Linked DNA regions of Coturnix japonica. The protein of the gene in region 1 purifies or fractionates together with the protein of each later gene. This does not show direct contact. Links are inferred from orthologs where the notes say so. Each region holds a gene or a part of one and is shown in the gene's direction. Other genes may lie near its edges. The genes, in order: ZBTB18, FBXL17 and CTBP1.

Region 1 (7,602 bases):
AGGTCTCAGCAGCAGACCCCGAACAGTTGGTGATACCGCTCACACGAGGAAGGAAGAGGCAGGATGCAGTTTACAGATCTAGGACAGCGCAGCGAATGTAATCATGTCAGCCACATTCACTGGCAGTTCAAATATATATAACTGCATACGTTATTGGTATCTTCTACATTTTAAAAACTTCACAACTATTTTCAATGATATTTCTTGACACAATACCTACAAAAATTTGTTTTTTTGCAGTTTAAAGAAAAAGCAGCTTTGCAGTTGTAGGAAAGATGTGATTTAGCCGAGGGCTGTTAGAGTTAGGTCACTATGGTTAGGCTATGGTTGGACTTGATGATCTTTGAGGTCTTTGCCAACCTGAGTAATTCTATGATTCTAAGATTCTATGCACAAGGAACGGCAGGCAGCAGGGAACGGAGTGCTGATCTGTCCCAGATGATGTGATTATTAGCACCGGGAGACGATCGGGGAAACATGAGGAGTCAGCATCTCACTGCTGTGTCTTGAACACAAGGACAAAACCTCGCTGAGCTCAAAGTATTATTTAATATGGAACATGTTATCAACAGAAAAAAAAACAGCACAGAACTCTCTATCTTATATAAGGAATTGTACCACCACCCAAGATGAACTGAAACACCCTGAGATAATAACTTTAAACACCCACACCAGGACTGCACTAGAGGTTAGTTTCCCAAAATACAGAGAGAAAAGCATCTTCTTTCGTACTGGCAGGTTTGGTGGGTTTTTTAATATGTTATACTTGAAGCATATGGACATGCGGATGCTGGCTGCTGTGTGATATACATAGCAGTGCTGTCAAATGAATTAGGCACAGCTAGAATTCAGTGTACTTCTTTATAGTAGTTTCATATTGAAAGAGACGACATACACGCCTTCCGTTTTCGTATCCACTAAGTCAATTTTGGACATTAACACACAACCCTCTTTTCTTTTAGCTCTGTCTCTGCTGGTGATCCTTAATTTCTTCATAAACCTCGCCCACACTAACTTCATATCTTAAGCAGCAGGGCAGGTGGGGAAATACCATCTCCTTAGATGGATCTATTCCTAAGGAAGGCCTCTGCTGATGGAACCCAGCCTCCACTGCCCTCTCCTACCCCAGAGCCACTGCCCCCAGCCCTCCCTCACACAGCATGCTAAGCCCTGGGGAACTACTGCCAGCCTCTAGCTCAGGGCACCCCAGCACAGCCTCAATGAAGGCAATGCTGCCTTGAGAGGAGGCACTGAAGTTACACGCAACATACAGCAGCCGAGATGTCAGTGATCTTTTAATGGAGGTGAACAAGCCTCCAGGGTAATCCTTCGCTAGAGGTGAGCAAGTGCACAACCACCACTCTCTGTCATGAACAGCTTTTGGGTGACTCCAGGAGCGTCCTTCTGAGGGCCCTGCTCAGCTGCCCACACCAGGCTGGCACCGATGGTGCAAAGGCAGGTTCTGATGAGGGCAGCCCTCGGGGACGCACCCCCACAGCCGCCATTTTGAAGCGTACGCCCCCAGCCCAGCACAGGTGTCCCGGCCAGAGGCACGGAGCGGGGCCAGCCCGGGGCGAACTGCCTCACGGCTGACAACGCGGGACAAGCTCCGCTCGGCTCGGCTCGGCTCGGCTCGGCTCGGCCCGGCTCGCCCTGTGCACGAGGCACACACGGCAGCTCCACCGCCCCCCACTCCCGCTCTCCCCACAGCCCACTCGAGGCCCGGACCCTCTCACTCCCTCCCGCGAGCACCGCGCCCCCTGGACGGCGCCGCCCCGTCGTCGCTCTCCTCAGGCGAGGCCCCGCCCCCTCCCCGGGCCCGGTGTGGCCCCGCCCCCTTCCGCCTCCGCTCCCCGCCGGTTCACGCCCCCTCGCCTCGCCGCGCGTTCCGATTGGCGGAGCGCTCTGCCTTCCCGGGCCTCCCTCCTCCACTCAGCGCCCGGCACCGCCCGTCACTCATCGTTGGGGCTCCGCGCCGGTTGGCGGCGGCGGCGGCGCGGGCGGGTCGCGCTGTCAGTCAGGGAGCGGAGTCCGAAGTGGGGAGCGGGGCGGGAGGAGGGGAACATCTGTCTGCCGCAGCCGGGCCCGGCTGTGCCGCCGCCGCCGCGCGCCCGAGCCGCGTGCGCCCGGCCCCCGCCCGCCCCCCGCCCCTCCCCCGCGGCCGGCCCCGGGCTCCGCGCCGCCTCCGGCCGTCGGTGCCATGGGGAGCCGCTGAGCGCGGGGCCCGCTGAGCGCCGCCGGCTGCCCCGCTCGCTCCTCAGCTGACGGCAGGGGGGGGGGCTCGGGGGGCGGCGGCCCGCGGGCGGGGGAGCGGCGCGGAGCGGAGCGGAGCGGCCCACGGGAGACGGCGGCGGCGCGGGGACTTCGGGCCGCCGCGAGTGTGAGTCCCGCTCTCGTCCCCGCGCGGCGCCGGGCCGGGGCGGGCGGGGCCCGGGGGGCGGCGGGGCCGGCGGCGCTGCCGGTCACTTTCCTTTTGTTGCCTTGTCGGCCCGGGGGCGGCTTTCCTGCGCGCCGGGCGGCCGCTTCCTGCCCGCGGGGCCGCCGGCGGGTCGGGCCCCGCGCCGCGGGGGGCGGCGGCGCTCGCGGCCAAAAGTTGCCGCCGCCCGACCGGGATGCGGGGCACGGCACGCGGGGTCGCGCCCGCGGTCCCGGGAAGTTGCGGGGAGGGCCGGGGCCGGCGGCAAGGGGCGCGAACCGGGAGGGGACGGGAGGGGAGGCGGCGGCGCGGGCACGGCACCGGGGCCGGCAGCGCGGAGCGGCGGTTCCGCGGAGCGGTGCGGGGTCGGCGAGCCGGGGCTGTGCGCGCTGTCGGCGGGCGGAGCAGCCCTCCAAGTTGAGGCAGAAGTGTCGGTGTGCCGCGAGCGCGGCGGAGCCCCATATGTTGAGGATTTTCTTCTTTATTTATTTTTTATTTTTTTCTTCCCCCCTGTTCGAAAGTTTGGGGAAAAAAAAAAAAAGAGAGACTTTGAAGTATTTTGTTTATACTAACAGAAGAGAAAAGTTCTCCTAAGAAAAAGCTGGTGGCAGGAGTGTAGAGGAGTAGCATATGGCATTAAAAGGAGCACAGCTGGAGGTAGCATTTCCATCTGAACATGATGTCAGAGCAGCTGACAGCCTGCCATCCCTCAGCCTTTTATTCTAACACACAGACAGGGAGTTAGTGTGTGCAGATCTGTGTGTGGAGAAGGTATCTCATTCCTCTCTAACATCATCTCCACTTTGCATCTGTCTCTCCCAGTCTGCTTTTTTTCCACCGATCTAACAGACCTGGAGCCAGCGAGACTCAGAGGAAAGGACTTAATCAGGTTTATGTGTACTAAAGGTAGGAGTAGCAATAGATTAGATACAGCATCTTTCTGTTTTGGTGTGTTGTTTATTGAATTTCAGGAAAAATCACATTACTTTTCTAACCAAGTTTGGAGGTAATATATGAAATTGAGTATTAAGCAGATAAGTGGACTTGGTCAAAAAGGCTGGGGCTGCAGTTTGAGAGTATCGGTTTGATGCACATGGATAGAATTAACTTTAATGCGTATCGTGAGAAGAAAATTTCTGGCTTTAGGATGTGATGAGAGCAACTTTGTTCTCAATTTCTGAGACCAAAACTGAAATGCATTCGGAGGCGAGCTAACGAGAGTCCTGCTTTATGCTTTTGTGCTGCATCTTTAGGTTGACTTGATGGGGATTTTTGGTGAAATAGACACGAGCGTGCTTTTAAAAAGAACCGTTCTGGCTGAACCGTGTTTGTTGTGAAGGCTCTCACTGTGCTTGGTGGTTAAATAGCCAGCAGCCCGGAACTGTGGGAGCATACAGCTGGAGTGCTTTTGAAAGATAGAAATCACTTATGTGTTTAGAAACTTTTGTACCTGGGAGAATAGCCTGACTGGTTTCGTCTTTTCTTTCTCGCCTGTAGCATTTGCAATCTTTTATTCCTGCATAACAATAATTATTTGAAGGAGTTTTTGTATTTGCGACTAATTTAGAACTTGTAGATTTGAGCTGCCTGAATTGGCCAGACAGCTGTAATCGCACTCCTCTATTCTTAATCTCTTTATCTGGGCAGCAGCTGCCATATGGCCACAGTCAGCTGGATCAGATGTTTATAAGCTTCCTTCTTCGTCCCTCTCTGTCCTTTCAGCCTCCTAATTTGATCACAGCTACCTTGTGAGCTGCCCTCCAATCTTTATTTTTAGCCCTCTTAAGGATTAGGATTGATGTTGGCTGTGGGGCACTTAAAGTGATTGTATTGTAAATCTTCGTGCTTTACTCTAGCGGTGGTATTTTACAGAATATAGCCAGGGTTGTGCTGTGAGTTTCAGCACATCTCGCTTTGCCGGGGATGGGCATTTTTCAGCAATATCTGCCAGCCCAGAGAGCCACGGTCTGTTTGGATGGTTTGGAAGAGCATTGCCAGCAGTCACAGAAGAATAGGTTGAGACAGGGGTTTTAGGAGATTTTACTTTCTGTTTGAATTCTGACTTCTCTACTTCTCTGAAGTTTAGTTGCTTGATTTTTTTTGTGTGTTCTTTTGTTTTGTTTTGTTTTTTGTTTTTTTGTATCATCAGAGAGGGTGAATAGAAAAAAGACTTGGGTAAGCACAGCACTCAGGATACTCATTTTAAGTGTGCACACACGCTCACGTTGAATGGCTTTTTTTTTTTTTTTTTTTTAAGTTTGGTACTGCAAACTCTGTGGTGTGGGAGGGGAGGGAAATTTCTGTCCTTCTGCACAGGGGAAGCAGTGCTCAATGGCATTTTAGCTGACAGTTTTCTTTTCCTTTTGCAAATTCTGCACCTTAGCAAAAAAGCATCTTGTTTTCTCATGTACAGTGTGGAGAATGTTCCAAACCTGAAACTATACCTACCAGGAGGAGAAGGCAGTGCAGGCTAGGTTTCTAAAAAAGCTTGGTATTCCTCTCAAGTAAAAATTCTTTACTCCTGTCAGTTCCTATTCCTTATGAATGCTAGACCTTTAGGTTTGGGCAGTTAGCATTTCTTCATGCACAAAACTCTCCTGTTATTACAGGTTAGCTTTAAAAAGGATGTCGATCATCTGTTTTGTTTTATTATTAATATTGCTATTATCTTTTCCCTCTGCGATCTCTCAAACTTAGTGTTTGAAAAAGAAAATACTTTTTTTTTTTTTTTCCAGTTCTGCTAGGGTCGCAATCTGGAGGAAGGTCCTTGAGAAAGAAGAAAATAACTGTTGAACAGATTTTGTGAACAGTGGTGGTAGAAATGTAGCTAAGCGCTTATTAGAATGGCTTACTTAGGGGCGAGGGGAAAGCAGAACTTCAGTGGTTGATTGGGGAAAGAGAGGCCATTGTGTGTACGCGTTAAATAATCCTCGCGTAGTGGCGGTGTCAGGATTCTGGCAGTAGAAACGCTGGGCTTTCAGAGTGGAATAACTTGGGCTCATAAGTTCTGTTGTTCTGAATCCGCGTGTAATTTTGAAAAATCTTATTACTTTATAGGTTATGAAGACAGCATGGAGTTTCCTGACCACAGTAGACATTTGCTACAGTGTCTGAGCGAGCAGAGACATCAGGGTTTTCTTTGTGATTGCACTGTTCTGGTAGGAGATGCCCAGTTCCGAGCGCACAGAGCTGTACTGGCTTCATGCAGCATGTATTTCCACCTCTTTTACAAGGACCAGCTGGACAAAAGAGACATTGTTCATCTGAACAGCGACATTGTTACAGCCCCAGCTTTCGCTCTCCTGCTTGAATTCATGTACGAAGGAAAACTCCAGTTCAAAGACTTGCCCATTGAAGACGTGCTAGCAGCTGCCAGTTATCTCCACATGTATGACATTGTCAAAGTCTGCAAAAAGAAGCTGAAAGAGAAAGCAACCACGGAGGCAGACAGTACAAAAAAAGAGGAAGACGCCTCAAGTTGTTCAGACAAAGTGGAAAGCCTCTCCGACGGCAGCAGCCACATGCCAGGAGACTTGCCCAGTGATGAAGACGAAGGAGAAGATGAAAAATTGAACATCCTGCCTAGCAAAAGAGACTTGGCGGCCGAGCCTGGGAACATGTGGATGAGATTGCCCTCAGACTCAGCAGGCATTCCCCAGACTGGCGGAGAGGCAGAGACACACGCAACAGCAGCTGGAAAAACAGTAGCCAGCCCCTGCAGTTCAACAGAGTCTTTGTCCCAGAGGTCTGTCACCTCCGTGAGGGATTCAGCAGATGTTGACTGCGTGCTGGACCTGTCTGTCAAGTCCAGCCTTTCAGGAGTTGAAAATTTGAACAGTTCTTATTTCTCTTCGCAGGACATGCTTAGAAGCAGCCTGGTTCAGGTGAAGGTGGAGAAAGAGGCTTCCTGTGATGAGAGTGATGTTGGCACTAATGACTATGATATGGAACATAGCACTGTGAAAGAAAGTGTGAGCACTAATAACAGGGTACCGTACGAGCCGGCCCATCTGGCTCCGATGAGGGAAGATTCAGTCTTGAGGGAGCTAGATAGAGAGGACAAGGCAAGTGATGACGAAATGATAACTCCAGAGAACGAGCGAGTCCAGGTGGAAGGAAACATGGACAGCAGCTTGCTCCCTTACGTGTCAAACATACTTAGCCCCGCTGGCCAAATTTTTATGTGTCCTCTGTGCAACAAAGTCTTTCCTAGTCCCCACATTCTGCAGATCCATTTAAGCACGCACTTTCGAGAGCAGGACGGGATCCGCAGCAAGCCTGCTACCGATGTCAATGTCCCCACCTGCTCACTGTGTGGTAAGACTTTTTCTTGCATGTACACCTTGAAACGTCATGAGAGGACTCATTCAGGTGAAAAGCCCTACACTTGCACCCAGTGTGGGAAGAGCTTCCAGTACTCCCACAACCTGAGCCGCCACGCAGTGGTTCACACGCGGGAGAAGCCACACGCTTGTAAGTGGTGTGAGCGCAGGTTCACGCAGTCCGGAGACCTTTACAGACACATTCGGAAGTTTCACTGTGAGTTAGTGAACTCATTGTCTGTCAAAAGCGAAGCACTGAGCTTACCTACTGTCAGAGACTGGACCTTAGAAGATAGCTCACAAGAACTTTGGAAATAAAATTTTTATATATATAAATAATATATATATAAATCTATATAGTTGTGGTACAGTCTAAAAGCAATCTTGTTTCCTTGAACTGAAAGTTTGGCTATTAGCTTGTTTTTGCACTTTAAGGCAGCATGAATATTTCACTAATTTAGCACTCTGATAAAACGGAACTTTAGAGGTAACGTGGTGAAGTAATAAGCATCGGAGCGTATTTTTTTCCCCCCTTTTTTGGACTAGAAGCCAGCAGATACTTTAATTTTAAAGAATCTCCAATTTGAAAATGTTGACATGGCTTTGTTCTCCCCAAAACGCTGCGTTATTTTGAGCTCTAGATAATTTTCCTTTCAAAATCTGAATGTAGAAATCCTATCCCCAATTGTATCAGATCCTTTACATTTATTTTTTTTCATTATTTTCTAATTGCATGAGTCCTTTCTAGCTGTTGGAAACCTGAATGCTTTTAGACCCAAATGGAAAATTTCTGAAATGCTGGATTATCTATTTTTAAACAAGCGGTTGACTTAAAACTTATTATGGCAACTTCTGGATTTCTGA
Region 2 (6,383 bases), on another chromosome or scaffold:
AGAATTTATGGGTTGAGATAAGGACACCTACTATGTTAAGCCAATGCTGCAAGCAAGTCAAAACAAGACATTACTCTGCTACTTTCCATCATCAGGCAGGTGTTCAGCCTCTTCCCCACCAGCAGGACTCATTATGTGTAATGATTTCTTGGGAAGACAAACAACATCACATTTTCCCCCTTCCCTCTTCTTTACCTCAGCTTTTATTTCTGAGCAGGATACCACATGATGTGGAATATCCCTTCTGTCTCCTCCCAGCTCCTTAGGCATCCCCAGCCCCTCACTGGCAAGACAGCACAATAAGCTGAAACCTTCTTTGCTCTGGGCAGCACTGCTCTATGACAGCTAAAACATTCGTGTGTGTTCAACACTGTTTCCATCAAAAATCTAAAACACGGTGCCATACATCCTCTTTGAGGAAAATTAACGCTATCTAAGCTAAAACAGATGACAAAATTATGGTTTGGTACTACTTAGTGTTGCCTGGGATCAAAAGATTTAAAATGACACTGTAACAAAAACAGGGAAACCCGACTGTTCAGGTTTTGTTCATAAAATATCTGACCTTGTTGTAAAGTCACTTCTGCAGTGGTTTTGCCTGTTCTCTCATGCTTATATTTACTTTTAACTGTGTTTGTCACTCGATATCAGAAGTAGTAATTAGTAATAATTGTATTATGTATTATTTATACTGCAGTAATTTATTTAAAAAAATAAAATGACCAATGGCTAGCACTAAATGGTTTACCATAGATTTCTTCATAGATTTTAAGACCAAAAGATACTACTGTAACATCATCTGTCTTCCTTATTATTCTGGGCCACGCTATTTCACTTAAGTTAGCCTTGCAGTAAATCAGTTACTTTAATGTAGCTGGAGTTTTGCTTCTGTAAATGTGTTCAGTCTTTGGATAGAAAACCCCAAGTATGGAGGATGTATGGCTTTCTCTGATCACAGCCTCTTGTCCTGTATTTGAACATCCTCTTTGTAACAAATTTGTATTATTTGTTTCCCATAACAGAAAATCTGATTATAATATTGCACCAATTTGCTCTCTCAAACCATAATATCCATGCTGTACTAACAAATAACATCTAACAGGTTTGTGTCAAAGAATAATAGCCTCTATCTGCTGTTAATATTTTTAAAATATTGAATGGATTGATGGTATTTCTTCTCCAAGTTTCCGATGAGGAAGGAGTAGCAGGGGTATCTTCATTCTGGCTGATTTACCGCAAAGAGAAGTTACTTGTAATGTTATAGATTTTGCCATGGCTGTGCACCACAAATGTAAAGAAAAGAGGCTTTTGGACTATTTTTGAATAGGCAAATAGTAGCAAATATGGCTTCGGAAATTCTTCCCTTCCAAGCAATATTTCTGTGAAGTGCTGCTGACAGTTTGAAAGTATGTATGTATTCAGCTATAAATATCAAATATTTTGGAGGACTTGTGCTATGTCTGATTTCATTTTGATTTATTAAAAGTCACTTCTTGTTTATCAGCACTGGAAGAGGTTACTGTTATGTAGTAATTTGCCAAAAGAGTACAGTGTGTACTATGAAAGGAAGTTAAACCGGTTTTCTATCCAAGTCAGTCTCAGCTAGATGAAACTTCCAATGAAGATTGAGTGTTTCTATTATGAAAGTAGAAGAACTGGATATTAAACCTTTCATTTATCCCCGTCATTGTGAGCAATCACTGCTTAGAAGGATGCACTCCTTGTTATCTTTTAAGGACAAAAAGTATTATTAGATATCGTGGTCACTGTGCTTTAAAATATTATTCACAAGATGGATCTTTGTAAGGATAGTAAATATTTCAGTACTTTTTTTTTTTTCTTTTTTTCTTTTCTTTTTTTTTTTTTTGGTTTTGTGGGACACTGTGGGGAGAAAGCAAGTCACGATATCTGTTGTACATGCTACTGATCTAGGCAATTCAGCGCTTAAATATAGCACTGGCATATTTTAAACTGTCCAAGTATTTTAGCAAGGATTTTAAAGAGAGCTGCATAGGAGTTATGGTTCTTCAGTTAATCTTTCATTTATCTGAAGGCTGAAGGAAGCTGTCTGCTTTTGTGATATGAACTGCAATCAGCTTAAAAATAATTGACAAATTAATCCTTTCACAGAGCTGCAATTGTAAAGGTGTTAGATTTAGCTTGGCTTGTCTGACTGCCCTGTCTAATCAAGAAAAAAGGTGCTATCTTTGATGTTTAAGATTTAGAAGGGACATCCCTGACCTAACAAGCTAGTATATTTTAATTATCGATCCCCTCATTTCTGCCCACAAAAGCCTTTGTTCATTGATAGCCTCACACCAAAAGACTAAAACAAAAATTTCTGACTGGGAGGTACATGAAGACAAGCAGGTACTGGAACATTGGGAAAAATTAACCTGTATTACCAATTTATATACCTACAATATAAAACAGATTGCATTCTACTCTTCTAGTTATTATCTCTTAATTATCATTGTGGTCATGTTGAAAGCCACCATACAGTGGAACTTAATTTCAGGGCTAATTCCTGCATAGCATGTATAAAAGTAACAAAAATGTACCATAAATTAATTGAAAAAATTGAATCAATTTCCATTTCCAAAGCCAAGAGAAATTTCAAACCCATGTCTGCTTAAGTATTGTTAAAGTAGTGTGTTTCTATTTCAAGACAAAGGAAGAAATATATGCAGTGTGCTCTTAAAGAAGACTGCCTGTCTATGAATAATTATGTTTTGTACAGTAGGAGTGGCCAGTTTGTTTATGTATGGAATTTAAATAGTTCAGCATATTGTTAAACACTGTTGCAGTTTTCTAACTAAGCTTTTTACAAATGGAGATGCTTCATCTTTCTTTGCTTTTTCACTTTCAATTGAAAATAATCAAACAGTGTGTACTAGAATGCTGTATCAAAATTCTCCCTTTAAGATGGAGTCGAGCTGTTCATTATGTAGGTTTGTTGTGGGTTATTTTTTGTTTTGTGTTTTTCTCTAAAAGAGGATCAAATTCTGAATATTTTTGATAAATGAAGCCTACTGTGTCAATAGACAGCCCAATTCTGCTAGTCCTTCCAGGAGTCCAGTTTGATTATTTATTTAGTTTGAATAACGTTGCCCTTTTTGTTCACTTTTTTCACATTTTGGATTCTTTTCTTCAATTGCAGGTGAATGAAGCCACAGTAGAGCAGCTGGTGCAGCAGTACCCACATATAACCTTTAGTACTGTTCTACAGGATTGCAAGAGGACATTGGAACGAGCTTATCAAATGGGCTGGACTCCCAATATGTCTACTACCCCTTAACGTCATGCACCAACATGACAGTTCCACTCTGCTGCTTTCGGTAGATCGAATGGGGACTGCACAGGTTCACAGCCTTTCATTGTGATATATACAATGAATGCAATATAATTGTTAGTTTACAGAGGTTACAGTAAAATGGAAAAAAGCTGTATACTGACTTTGATGTACTGTATAACTAAGTCCTGGTATTGAGACAAAATTTTAGAAAAGCATCCTATTTCTTTGTTTGCATAAAATAAATGACTGATTTCTTGAAGTGGATTCCTATAGTTCTATGGATAGTGTGGGTTATAAAAGATACAAAGCTCTTTTTTTTTTATGTGTGTTTACTTTGCCTTGGTTGTGTGTATTTCCTTTGATTTGTAGATGGTAACTCAGTGCTAGCACCGGTATAGCTGATCAGCAGATGCCTGTGCTGAAACTGGGAGCTACACTCCATGCTTATTATTTACTAAAGTTACCCTAGGAGTTTTAAGATGCGCAGCGTATAAGAAAAAGTACAAAGATCTGTGATTGTCTTATAGACTTTTGGGGAATTACACAAGTCATCGGTAAACGATTATAATGACTGAATAGCTATCTAATGGACAATCATATAATCATCAAGTCCTAGAACAGTTTGGGTTGGAAGGAACCTGAAAGATCATCTCATTCCAATCCCCCTCCTGCGAATAGGTTGCTCAAACCCCTTCTAATGTGGTCTTGAATACTTTCAGGGATGAGGCATCCACAGCTTCTGGGCAACCTGTCCCAGTGTCTCATCACCTGCTAAGAAAATAATTTCTTCCTAACATCTAATATAAATCCACTCTCTTTCATTTTAAAATCATTCTCCTCAGTCCTATCATGACTTTTGACTTTGATGCAGAGTACCCATCTTTCCCATCAGTCCCCTTTACATACTGGAAGGCAGCTGTAACATCTCCCCAGAGCATTCTCTTCTGCAGGCTGAATAAGTCCAACTCCCTCCATCTTTATCACTTCACAGAAGTTGTGTCTTCTTTTATTTTGTTTGTTTAAAATGGTCGTTTAGGAGATATTCTGCAGATTTAGAAATCTTTTCACATTACAGGTTTTGCAGTAAGTGAGTAAACAGTGGTTGAACTCATACTCACAACCAGTTCCCGCTACATAACCAGTCAAGCAGGAAGTGAATACACCAACAATCAGAAATAAATTAAGGGACAGTTGTCATGGAGTTATCTAGATCAATCTATGTCCATGACAGGGGGGCAGTAGGCCTGTGGGTCCCCCATCCCTCAACAAATGGGAAGGGAAAAAGGAAAAAGGGGTAGGGAGATGGGAGCTGGGCTCATGGAAACAAACAGAGCAGCAGCATCGATCTAAGGAGGAAAACTTATTTTACTAATTATGATATTGGAATACAAGATAACAATATAATACAATCTGATTTAAAATGAGGCTAATAAATCAAGTAAAATAAGAGAAAGAGAGAGGTTTCCAAAGACTGAGAAGCCTACTTTGAAATTGAAGGCGCCATGGCTTGGAAACACACCCACACCCACTGCCAGGCAGTGAGAGAAATAGCCAGCATCACTTTGTGACGTGTTTCCCTCTCTGACCTTGAGGTCCTCTGAGACATGTAGTTCTTCTCTGTATTCCACATGATGTTATGATATGGAATACCAATAGCAAAAATTACACAACCATGACATTCCACCCATTATTCAACATCACTACATCATGCTTAAAATACATATATATATATACAAATAAACAAGAATTAAAATGCATTACACACACAGGTCTATATACATATATACATGGAATTACTAACTGCACTCCCCCAGCATCGAATTCCCTTGTGGTACGCACTGAACATCCCCATCTTTCTGCATCACCCACCAAGTGCACCCAGATCTCTGGGCAAAAACAGTTCCACAGAGAGGTTTGCCCTTTCCAGAGGCTGGAAGGACCCAAACAGCTTTTCCCAACATGTTCTTTACATGTACTACAGGGACCTTATCTCCCTCTACAGTATGCAGGGGCTGGATTGGCTAGGACCATCACAACTGACTGATCCTCTAGTACTGACCAACCAAGTGGCTTCTGACAAATGCTTCTCCCAGTGCTTAAATGTTCCACCACCCTTTGCTTTCAACATAGTTTTCAACAACCCACTGTATCATTCAATTTTACCTGAAGCTGGTGCATGGTAGGGAATATGATAAATCCACTCAATGCCATGATCTTTGGCCCAAGTATTTACAAGGGAATTTTTGAAATGTGTTCCATTATCAGACTCAATTCTTTCTGGGGTGCCATGTCTCCACAGGACTTGTTTCTCAAGCCCTAATATGGTGTTTCGGGCAGTAGCATGGGGTACTGCATATGTTTCAAGCCACCCAGTGGTTTCCTCTACCATGGTAAGCACATAACACCACTGCGAGATCGTGGCAAGGTGATGTAATCAATCTGCCATGCCTCCCCATATTTATACTTTTGCCATCACCCTTCCTCCCAGAGAGGTTTCATCCTCTTGGCTTGTTTAACCTGTCGTGTGGGGCTCCACTCAGCAGCTTTCCATTTGCGATTCTTCCCTACAATGCGACATGATCCATCAGTGAATAGGGCATATTTCTTTTCATTTTCTGGAAGTTCACTGTATGGTGGGGCCGCTTTAGCACATGACACCTCTTCTCCTGGTGATGTTCCAAACTTTTTATCTTCAGTCCAGTTCATGATCACTTCTAAAATTCCTGGACGATTGAGGTTCCCCATCCGCGCTTGTTGTCTAATCAGTGCAATCCACTTGCTCCAGGTGGCATCGGTAGCATGATGGGTGGAGAGAACCTCCCCTTTCAACATCCGGTTCATCATTGACAGTCGTGGCGCAAGAAGGAGCTGTGTTTCAGTACTGACTACTTCAGAAGCAGCCTGAACCCCCTCATATGTGGCTAAGATCTCCATTTCAGTTGGAGTGTAGCTCTCTTCGGACCCCTTGCACCCTCTACTCCAAAATCCCAGGGGTCGGCCTCGGGTCACTCCCGAGACTCTTTGCCACAAACTCCAAGTGGGACCTTTCTCTCCAGCAGCAGTGTAGAGGATGTTCTTTACATCCTGT
Region 3 (7,102 bases), on another chromosome or scaffold:
AGTAGCTGATGCCTTACATATCATCGCTTTTCTTGTCAGTTTTCTTCAGTAACGTTGCACTTTTGGAAATAACCTGCTCTTCTACATGTTGCTCAGAGCTGATTAAGTTGTGTTTACACTCTTATTCTGTGTCTTCTGGTAGCTGCCTCCTGTGCCTGTACTCGCAGGTAGTTCTGCCTTTTCTTCTTGTCCCTTGGGTTTTGATCTTCAGCATCACCGAGGGATTGTGACTAAATGCCGCCCCCCAGTGTTCAGCGCTGAGGCTTGCAGGGTGCTTCTTGAGTGGATCTCATTGCCAGCATTGCATTCTTTGGGAAAATCATGCTTGTTTGAATGAAAACCTCTCCCTAAAGCTTTTAGACAATATGGAAATCACTTTGGAATTTAGGCGTGTAGTAACTAATTCAGTTGTAGGCTTTTCTATTAAACATTTTGCCTCAGTGTAGGTAACAGTAGGAAATAAAACACTGAGATTTTAGATTGTAGATAGCATACAGGAAGAAATTCTGACAGTGTTGTGATTGCTTCTGTATTTTTATGTTTCTTGTACGTGCTGTATTATCTACGTATTGGTTACAATGACAGGAGCATTCTTTTGCAGAAAAAATCCTGCTTCTTGTCTGAGAAATACTTTATACCTGTTGCTCTTGAGCTTCAGGTGAACCAAAACAATTAACACACTACACATCTGATGATATAATGTACGTCTTGATCAGAGAGTTGTGAGATTTTGCAGATCCATCCCGGTGTAAAACCTGGGGTTGGGGTTTAAAACTTAAAAATAATGGAATTCAGATTGCTAAGAGAACTGAGCTCACCTGTTCTGGCCATTCTCCTTTGTTGAGTGTGCAGACACAACATTTTTATATGGTCAGATGTCCAGAAATTTGAACCCAAATGAAACCACACTGAGTTCAGTGGGGCTATGTAGAGACTTAGCACAGTGGGGCTATGTTGAGACTTAGCAATGGTCACTCATACAGTGGCCTCCGAAGCTTTAACCAGTCTATCAGTCTGGGAGATTTTAAGCAGAGCTTAAATGGGCTGAGCTCTGGAGGGTGCTCAGTGTATTAACGAGAGAAGCAAACAGAACAGCTTAACAGTGAGTGATCCATGTGAAATGAATTGCATACAATAAAACCGGGACTGGAAAGGATATTGTAGGTATTTATCTCGATATCCTTTTATTTAGGAGCAAAGTGAAAGTGTTAAGTGTTACAAGGCAATTTTTGCTTTGGGTAAAAGTTTGGATGAAGCAGTCAGTTTTGTAGCAGCTGATGGGAAGGTTACCCATATCTGAAAACCAGAAAACCTTAATACCTCTGTTCATGATTGATCGCTTACATACACCAGATCTTCTGAATTTCAAGTGGCAAGAACAGAAGAGCATTTTCAGTCTGCCAGATGCTAGAGTTGCCCTAAAAAAATTCTAGATCCCATTGCATTCCTCTTTTGTTCAGCATTGCACATTTATGTGATAGCCAGTTTTTAAACAGTGTGGAGGCGTATGGTGAGTCCTCGTGAAGTCCCACCCTGAATCGTTTAGAATCTGATGTGAGAAGGTGATTCTGCAGTTGTGTGAATACACTTGTAAAGCAGCTGTGCAGGTTTAATGTAGGTGAATGCTAACAGCTGTAAGCGGTGCTGTGGCAGTCTTTCAAGCTTCCACCCGTTATATGGGGTCATCTCCAGCTGCATCCACCCTTGTAGTTCATCACGACTCACAGAATTATTCTCCATTAGAATGCGTTTATGTGTCTGTGTTCTGTTTGATTTGGGCTTGTCTTAGTACTAGCTTGAAAGTTTTGCAAATAATCTTGAAGGTAAAAAAAAAAAAAAGGTTTATTATGGACAGACAGAAGATGTTGGTAAGATTTGCTGAAAGTTTTCAAGTTCTTCAAAGGACGGATAAATGCACTGGGCTATACTTAAACATCAAATTGTCCCTTACGTTTGCAAGAACACAGAACTAGGAAGTCTATAAGCCCTCATAAGCCCACTTGACATGGCTGTGATTGCTGCCTGGGTGAGCCCTATTGTGCTAGTTCTAATCTACTTCTCTTGCATAGTGGAGATTCAGAGACTAGAAGTGTCCCTTAATTCCACAGTAAATGGACTTTGGTTTTGCTATACGGTCCAATAAATGTAAGCCCTTCAAATGGCCTGAGGCAGGGATGATTCAAGCTAGTGAGCTGGCCAGAAAACTGTTTTCTTTCTTACAACTTTACTGTAAGCATGTGAATTGTTGAATATAAATAATAATAATAATATAAAATAATAGTAATTCTTGTAGCTGACTTTCATCCAAACCTCCTTGTTGTTCATGCATTTGGCCCTTTGAATCACTTTCTGAGAGTGGATCCATTGTTGTAAGCTTTGTTTGTTGTGTAGGCTTCAAGTAGGCGACGTGGTGTCAAAATGTTGGGTTTTTCTTCTTATGGGGAGAGATGGAGCCAGTTTAAAACGGGTTTTTTATCACTGATCTTCACCATGGTTCCTGCTCTTCTCAAGCTTCATGCTTTGAAATGCTTCTGAGATCAGAAGCTGTGTTGGAGATGACTGATAAAAGATGAAGTATTAGGGTGGCTGGAAGCAGGATGTCAGTTTTTTTCTTTTCCTTACCATCTCTCTTATTTAAACTTCCACTTTGTTTTCATGTTGTGGATATACTGGGGTGTAAATACTCGTAGTTCTCCCCTCATAGTGTCATCTGCAATGCTAATCTGCACAATGCACAGCACAGTTTCTCTCCTAAGCACGCAGCATTCTCAACCAAATTCATTTTCATGCCTTTTAATTGAATAATGTAAGAATTCTTCAGACCTTTATCTGAAAAGCCTTACCAGGAGGAGAAAGCTGAAGTAACAACAGTAAATAAAACATAGGTCTACTGTGTTTTGGCAGCTAAAGGGAAATGTGTTTGAAAATCCAAAAGCATTGATTTCTTTTCTGAAAAATTCATGCAGGCTTTTATTTGTGTGAAAGTTTAAAACCACAAGGTATGAATTTGTTTAAGAATGTTCGGTAGTTTCTGTCTCATGCAATTTCACAGTGAAATGAAAAGGCATAAAATGATCTGTCAGTTTCATATGCACAGTCGTATCTTTTGATCATGTTACTGCACAATATGTGAAACAACGCCTCTGTGAAAAGACACTACTTAAAAGAAACAAAAGATTATTAAATGCTGTGAAATAGCATTTCATGTTAGAAGCATCACATTTTGTGGTACTTTCCAATGGAAAGGGAAGACAACTGTTACAGGTTAAATCAGCTGAATAGCCTTTGTTGTAATGGATGCTTCTTTTGAGTAAAAAAAAAATAATGCCACAACGATTTTATTTCATTTATTTTTATTTCATCATTCTTGTTTTTTAACTTTCCCTAGATGAGACAAGGGGCTTTCCTGGTCAACACAGCTCGAGGTGGGTTAGTAGACGAAAAAGCACTTGCACAGGCCCTGAAGGAAGGAAGGATACGAGGGGCAGCCTTAGATGTACATGAGTCAGAACCATTCAGGTGCTTTTCCTTTTCTTTTCTTTTTATTTTGTTCACTTTCTTATTTTTAAGTCGTAGTGCATGATACGATCAACAGCAACAAGTAAATGAGTTTTCCCTTCATTTGGTAGCCTAATACTCCTTAGTAAAGCAACATGAATCTGTGCAGCACTGGACTAATGCAAAAGTAGATGGAGCTTGTGTATGTGGTCGGAAGTGGGGAAAAAAAAGTTCATCCAAGACTTAATGCCTTTAGAAAAAAGAATTAAAAATCCAACATGTTTATTTAGTACAGTCAGAGACTGAAGTTCTAGTGCTGGGCATGGCTTTGTGTCATGACTTTGAGAGGAGTGTTGCTTCATCACTGACTGAACACTGGAGGCAACTAACGTCTGAACAGTCTTTCAGAAGGCAAAGGGTTGAGATTTGGTGGGAGAAACAACTGCTTTGATGCTGCTCTGGTGGAAAAGGCATAGTTTCTGTCCATAATCCCCCTGCAGGAAAGCCACAAACGTGCCCGATTACAAAAAATTAAAGATAAGGAAGGTGGTTAGAGTTCAGCTTTGGATTTGTTACCGTTTCTCTTCAGCACTAGAGAAGTAACTCTTCTGCCACGAGCAGAGCTCTAGCATTAGCCTTAGTTTTCTGAATGCCGCTGAGCATCTCCAGTGGTATAGGCCCAGGGTGGCACTGCTGTTGTGGTACCAGCACTGCTAATGAGAAACAAGCCTTGTTGTCCTGGAGTCTTGAGCCTGACTTATGAATTATGAGAAGACTGCAGTAACTTAGTGCTTGTATGTGACAAGCCTTTTCCACTTGCTCAGTCTGGGCAGGGAGAAGCATTAATTTTAACAGGAACCGTCCACACAGGTTTTTGAACAGGAACAGATTAAAGACTTGAGGGCATGTTGTGAAGAATGGAGAGAGGACAGACTCTCTTGTATCAGCTTGCAGGGGATACTGGAAGTTTTAAAAATGTAGTGATGGTATCCTTTTAGGTAGAATTTTAATATCTATTGAGACACAGTGCAATATCACAAATACATTTTATTTATACCCTGCATTCATTTACTTGTAAATGTAGACATTACAATGCAGTAGTGCTGTGCAAAGCTAAAATCTAAACAGCTCAAGGGACCTCCAGCTTATATATATTCTTCCCAGTTCAGATCTTGGATCTGCACAGGCAGACCTTTGCACCTATAGGAAGCCCCATTTACTGCATGGAGATACCATCTGCAGAGATTCAGTTGCAGGATTACAGCCACAATTTCCTTCAGCTTCAGTGCTGCATGTCTATCTGATCGCAGCGTGCAACTCTTTATTTGAGAGCTTTGCCAGATATTCTGTTGTTTATTAAACTGCTGATGAAATCTATAGTTCTATGAATTATTACCAACTCTGAAAGCACGTTTTTGTCTAAAATATGAGCTCTACTGGTGTTGCACTTGACTGGAGGATTATTAAAACTGAAAATAGGTAGGAGGAGCAAGCTCCCACTATTTTCAGTTTTCTTACTCTGTATTTGTGAAAGCATATTATGTAGATTCATTGCTTTCCTTGAAAATCGATCCGTCAAGTAAATTTCGTTCTTTCTGTGTAGTTTCTATGCAAAACAGGAAAGAAAAAGTAGTTTAAAATAATAGAAAAAAAAATAAATGAATCATCAAAAAGTTGGGGATGCTGATTGACAAGCTCATGTCGATAATCAATGTGCAAATAATCGTTATTTTTAATGACTAAGTGTCAGATAGACAGTGATTCTTGAGAGAGAAAGCTTTGTTAGCTAATGTAATAAAACTGTGATGGATGGACAGAGTGGCATCCTGAATTAATCTGGGTCTTGCTTAATGCATTTCTGCATGAATACTGGAACGACAGTGGCTGTAGTTAACAATAAGTGCATTGAACGGAAGCTAATGTTGCTACTAGTGCTACTTAAGTTCTACTCTTTGAGTCTATGAGATGTGATTAATACCATGAATAGTGTATTAAATTCAGTGATGGAGTTAAAAACAAGCCCAACAAGGAATACAAATGCAATTATTTTCTATTGTAGAATTTAGTAGAATGTATGTACAAATCCCTCTGGATCTCCCTATTCCCCCACCCCCAATTTGTTTTGTCATTTGATCTTGTTTTAAATCTTCATTTAGCTTTAGTCAGGGTCCCTTGAAGGATGCACCAAACCTGATCTGTACCCCACATGCAGCCTGGTACAGTGAACAAGCCTCAATTGAGATGCGGGAGGAAGCAGCGCGAGAGATCCGAAGGGCGATCACAGGTACTGACTCACCTTATTATCTCCTTTACTCTGTGTTTCCTTTTAACAGTCTTGAAAGATGCTGAAAAGAACCAAAGTTAGTCTTTGTTTACTGCTTCTAATATTTGGAACATGGGAACCAGTAAATACCAAGTGAGTCTATTCTCAGCACAAGCAGATCATGTTGGATCATCATTGCAATTACAAAGAGTAGGCAAGAAGTGAAAAAGTAGTGTTTTTTCCATATAACAGGAACATACTTCAGTGTGAAAAATCCCTTTTTCATTCCTGTTTCTTGTAAGTACCAGCCATGTGATGAATTTGGCTATAAACCATCCAGATATTGATGATATTGTAATATCATAGAATCGTTTGAGTTGGAAGGGACCCTTGAAGGCCATCTGGTCCAACTCCCCTGCAGTGAATAGGGACACCTACAACTCAGGTGCTCAGAGCCTCTTCCAGTCTGACCTTGAGTTTTGTTATATTTGTTAGTAGGTGCTCCTTTTTAGATGTTTCCCTTTTTAAAGCATTCCAGAGGAAGTCTGTCATTTTAAAGGGCAGTCTCTTTGTTGAATAACTACCATGTAATTGTGAACTAATTCACAGAAGAAAAAAATAGTTATGTCCTGAATATGCACTGCTAATAAATAAAATGAGAAGAGTAAGCCATTTGGCTTTAGTTTGAATCCCTTGTAGCCTGAAATAAAAGGCAGGATTTTCATGCTGGAAAATGATTCATTAAGCACTAATGTTCTCTCTTTAGTAGGACTTTGCTGTTTTCCCCTTGGCAATATAGGCTGAATGCTCTGCAGACATGGAGGGTTGTCTGTGTCACCTTGAGAGTGGTTCAGTGCCAGTGCGTTTCTCTGCTGTACAAAGAAGTGCTGGCAGTAGCCTGTCCTGTATCTTGTGTCTAGAGAGGCTTGATGACTCTGTTTCATTTATAGTCTGTGCAGAAAGGATTCTGTGGATGGTGATTAAAGGCACCTCTGAAACTCCTGACCCAAATTGCCCTGCATAGGCCTATTTATCCCTGAGAGGTAACCTAAAGAATCTGGTCATCCCTTTGCTGTAATTAGTCTTTGTACTTATAGTCCTAAAGTACTCAAACACTGCACTCATCAGGTTGTTGTATAACTTTAGATACTTCCAAAAAGCTTTGGGAAAGATTGCACAATCCAGCGTACCATACCTGCTTGGAGGATGATTGATGTGCAAATAAGCGTTAATGGGCTAAGATAGGAAAACTGAGCGGGAGTCAGCTACACAAAGATAGTTCTGTGTTAAACATGGTGCAGTAGCCCAGACATATGTGCCTGAGAAGGCTGGCCTGTGTTT

The links.
Region 2: the proteins of ZBTB18 (region 1) and FBXL17 purify together in Homo sapiens (co-immunoprecipitation; 3 studies listed by BioGRID and IntAct, with this or other methods). This does not show direct contact. The link is inferred for Coturnix japonica from reciprocal best matches to the Homo sapiens genes ZBTB18 and FBXL17.
Region 3: the proteins of ZBTB18 (region 1) and CTBP1 purify together in Homo sapiens (affinity purification with mass spectrometry; 3 studies listed by BioGRID and IntAct, counting the BioPlex papers as one, with this or other methods). This does not show direct contact. The link is inferred for Coturnix japonica from reciprocal best matches to the Homo sapiens genes ZBTB18 and CTBP1.

What each region holds. Positions count from the first base shown.
Region 1 is NC_029518.1:31,392,787-31,400,388, reverse strand, and holds the start of ZBTB18 (zinc finger and BTB domain-containing protein 18), read left to right. Parts: upstream 1-2,831; 5' UTR 2,832-3,309; coding exon 3,310-3,322; intron 3,323-5,473; coding exon 5,474-7,056; 3' UTR 7,057-7,602.
Region 2 is NC_029547.1:42,665,900-42,672,282, forward strand, and holds the end of FBXL17 (F-box/LRR-repeat protein 17), read left to right. Parts: intron 1-3,160; coding exon 3,161-3,298; 3' UTR 3,299-3,606; downstream 3,607-6,383. UniProt on the Homo sapiens protein: Substrate-recognition component of the SCF(FBXL17) E3 ubiquitin ligase complex, a key component of a quality control pathway required to ensure functional dimerization of BTB domain-containing proteins (dimerization quality control, DQC).
Region 3 is NC_029519.1:76,830,318-76,837,419, forward strand, and holds part of CTBP1 (C-terminal-binding protein 1), read left to right. Parts: intron 1-3,388; coding exon 3,389-3,519; intron 3,520-5,654; coding exon 5,655-5,782; intron 5,783-7,102. UniProt on the Homo sapiens protein: Corepressor targeting diverse transcription regulators such as GLIS2 or BCL6. Has dehydrogenase activity. Involved in controlling the equilibrium between tubular and stacked structures in the Golgi complex.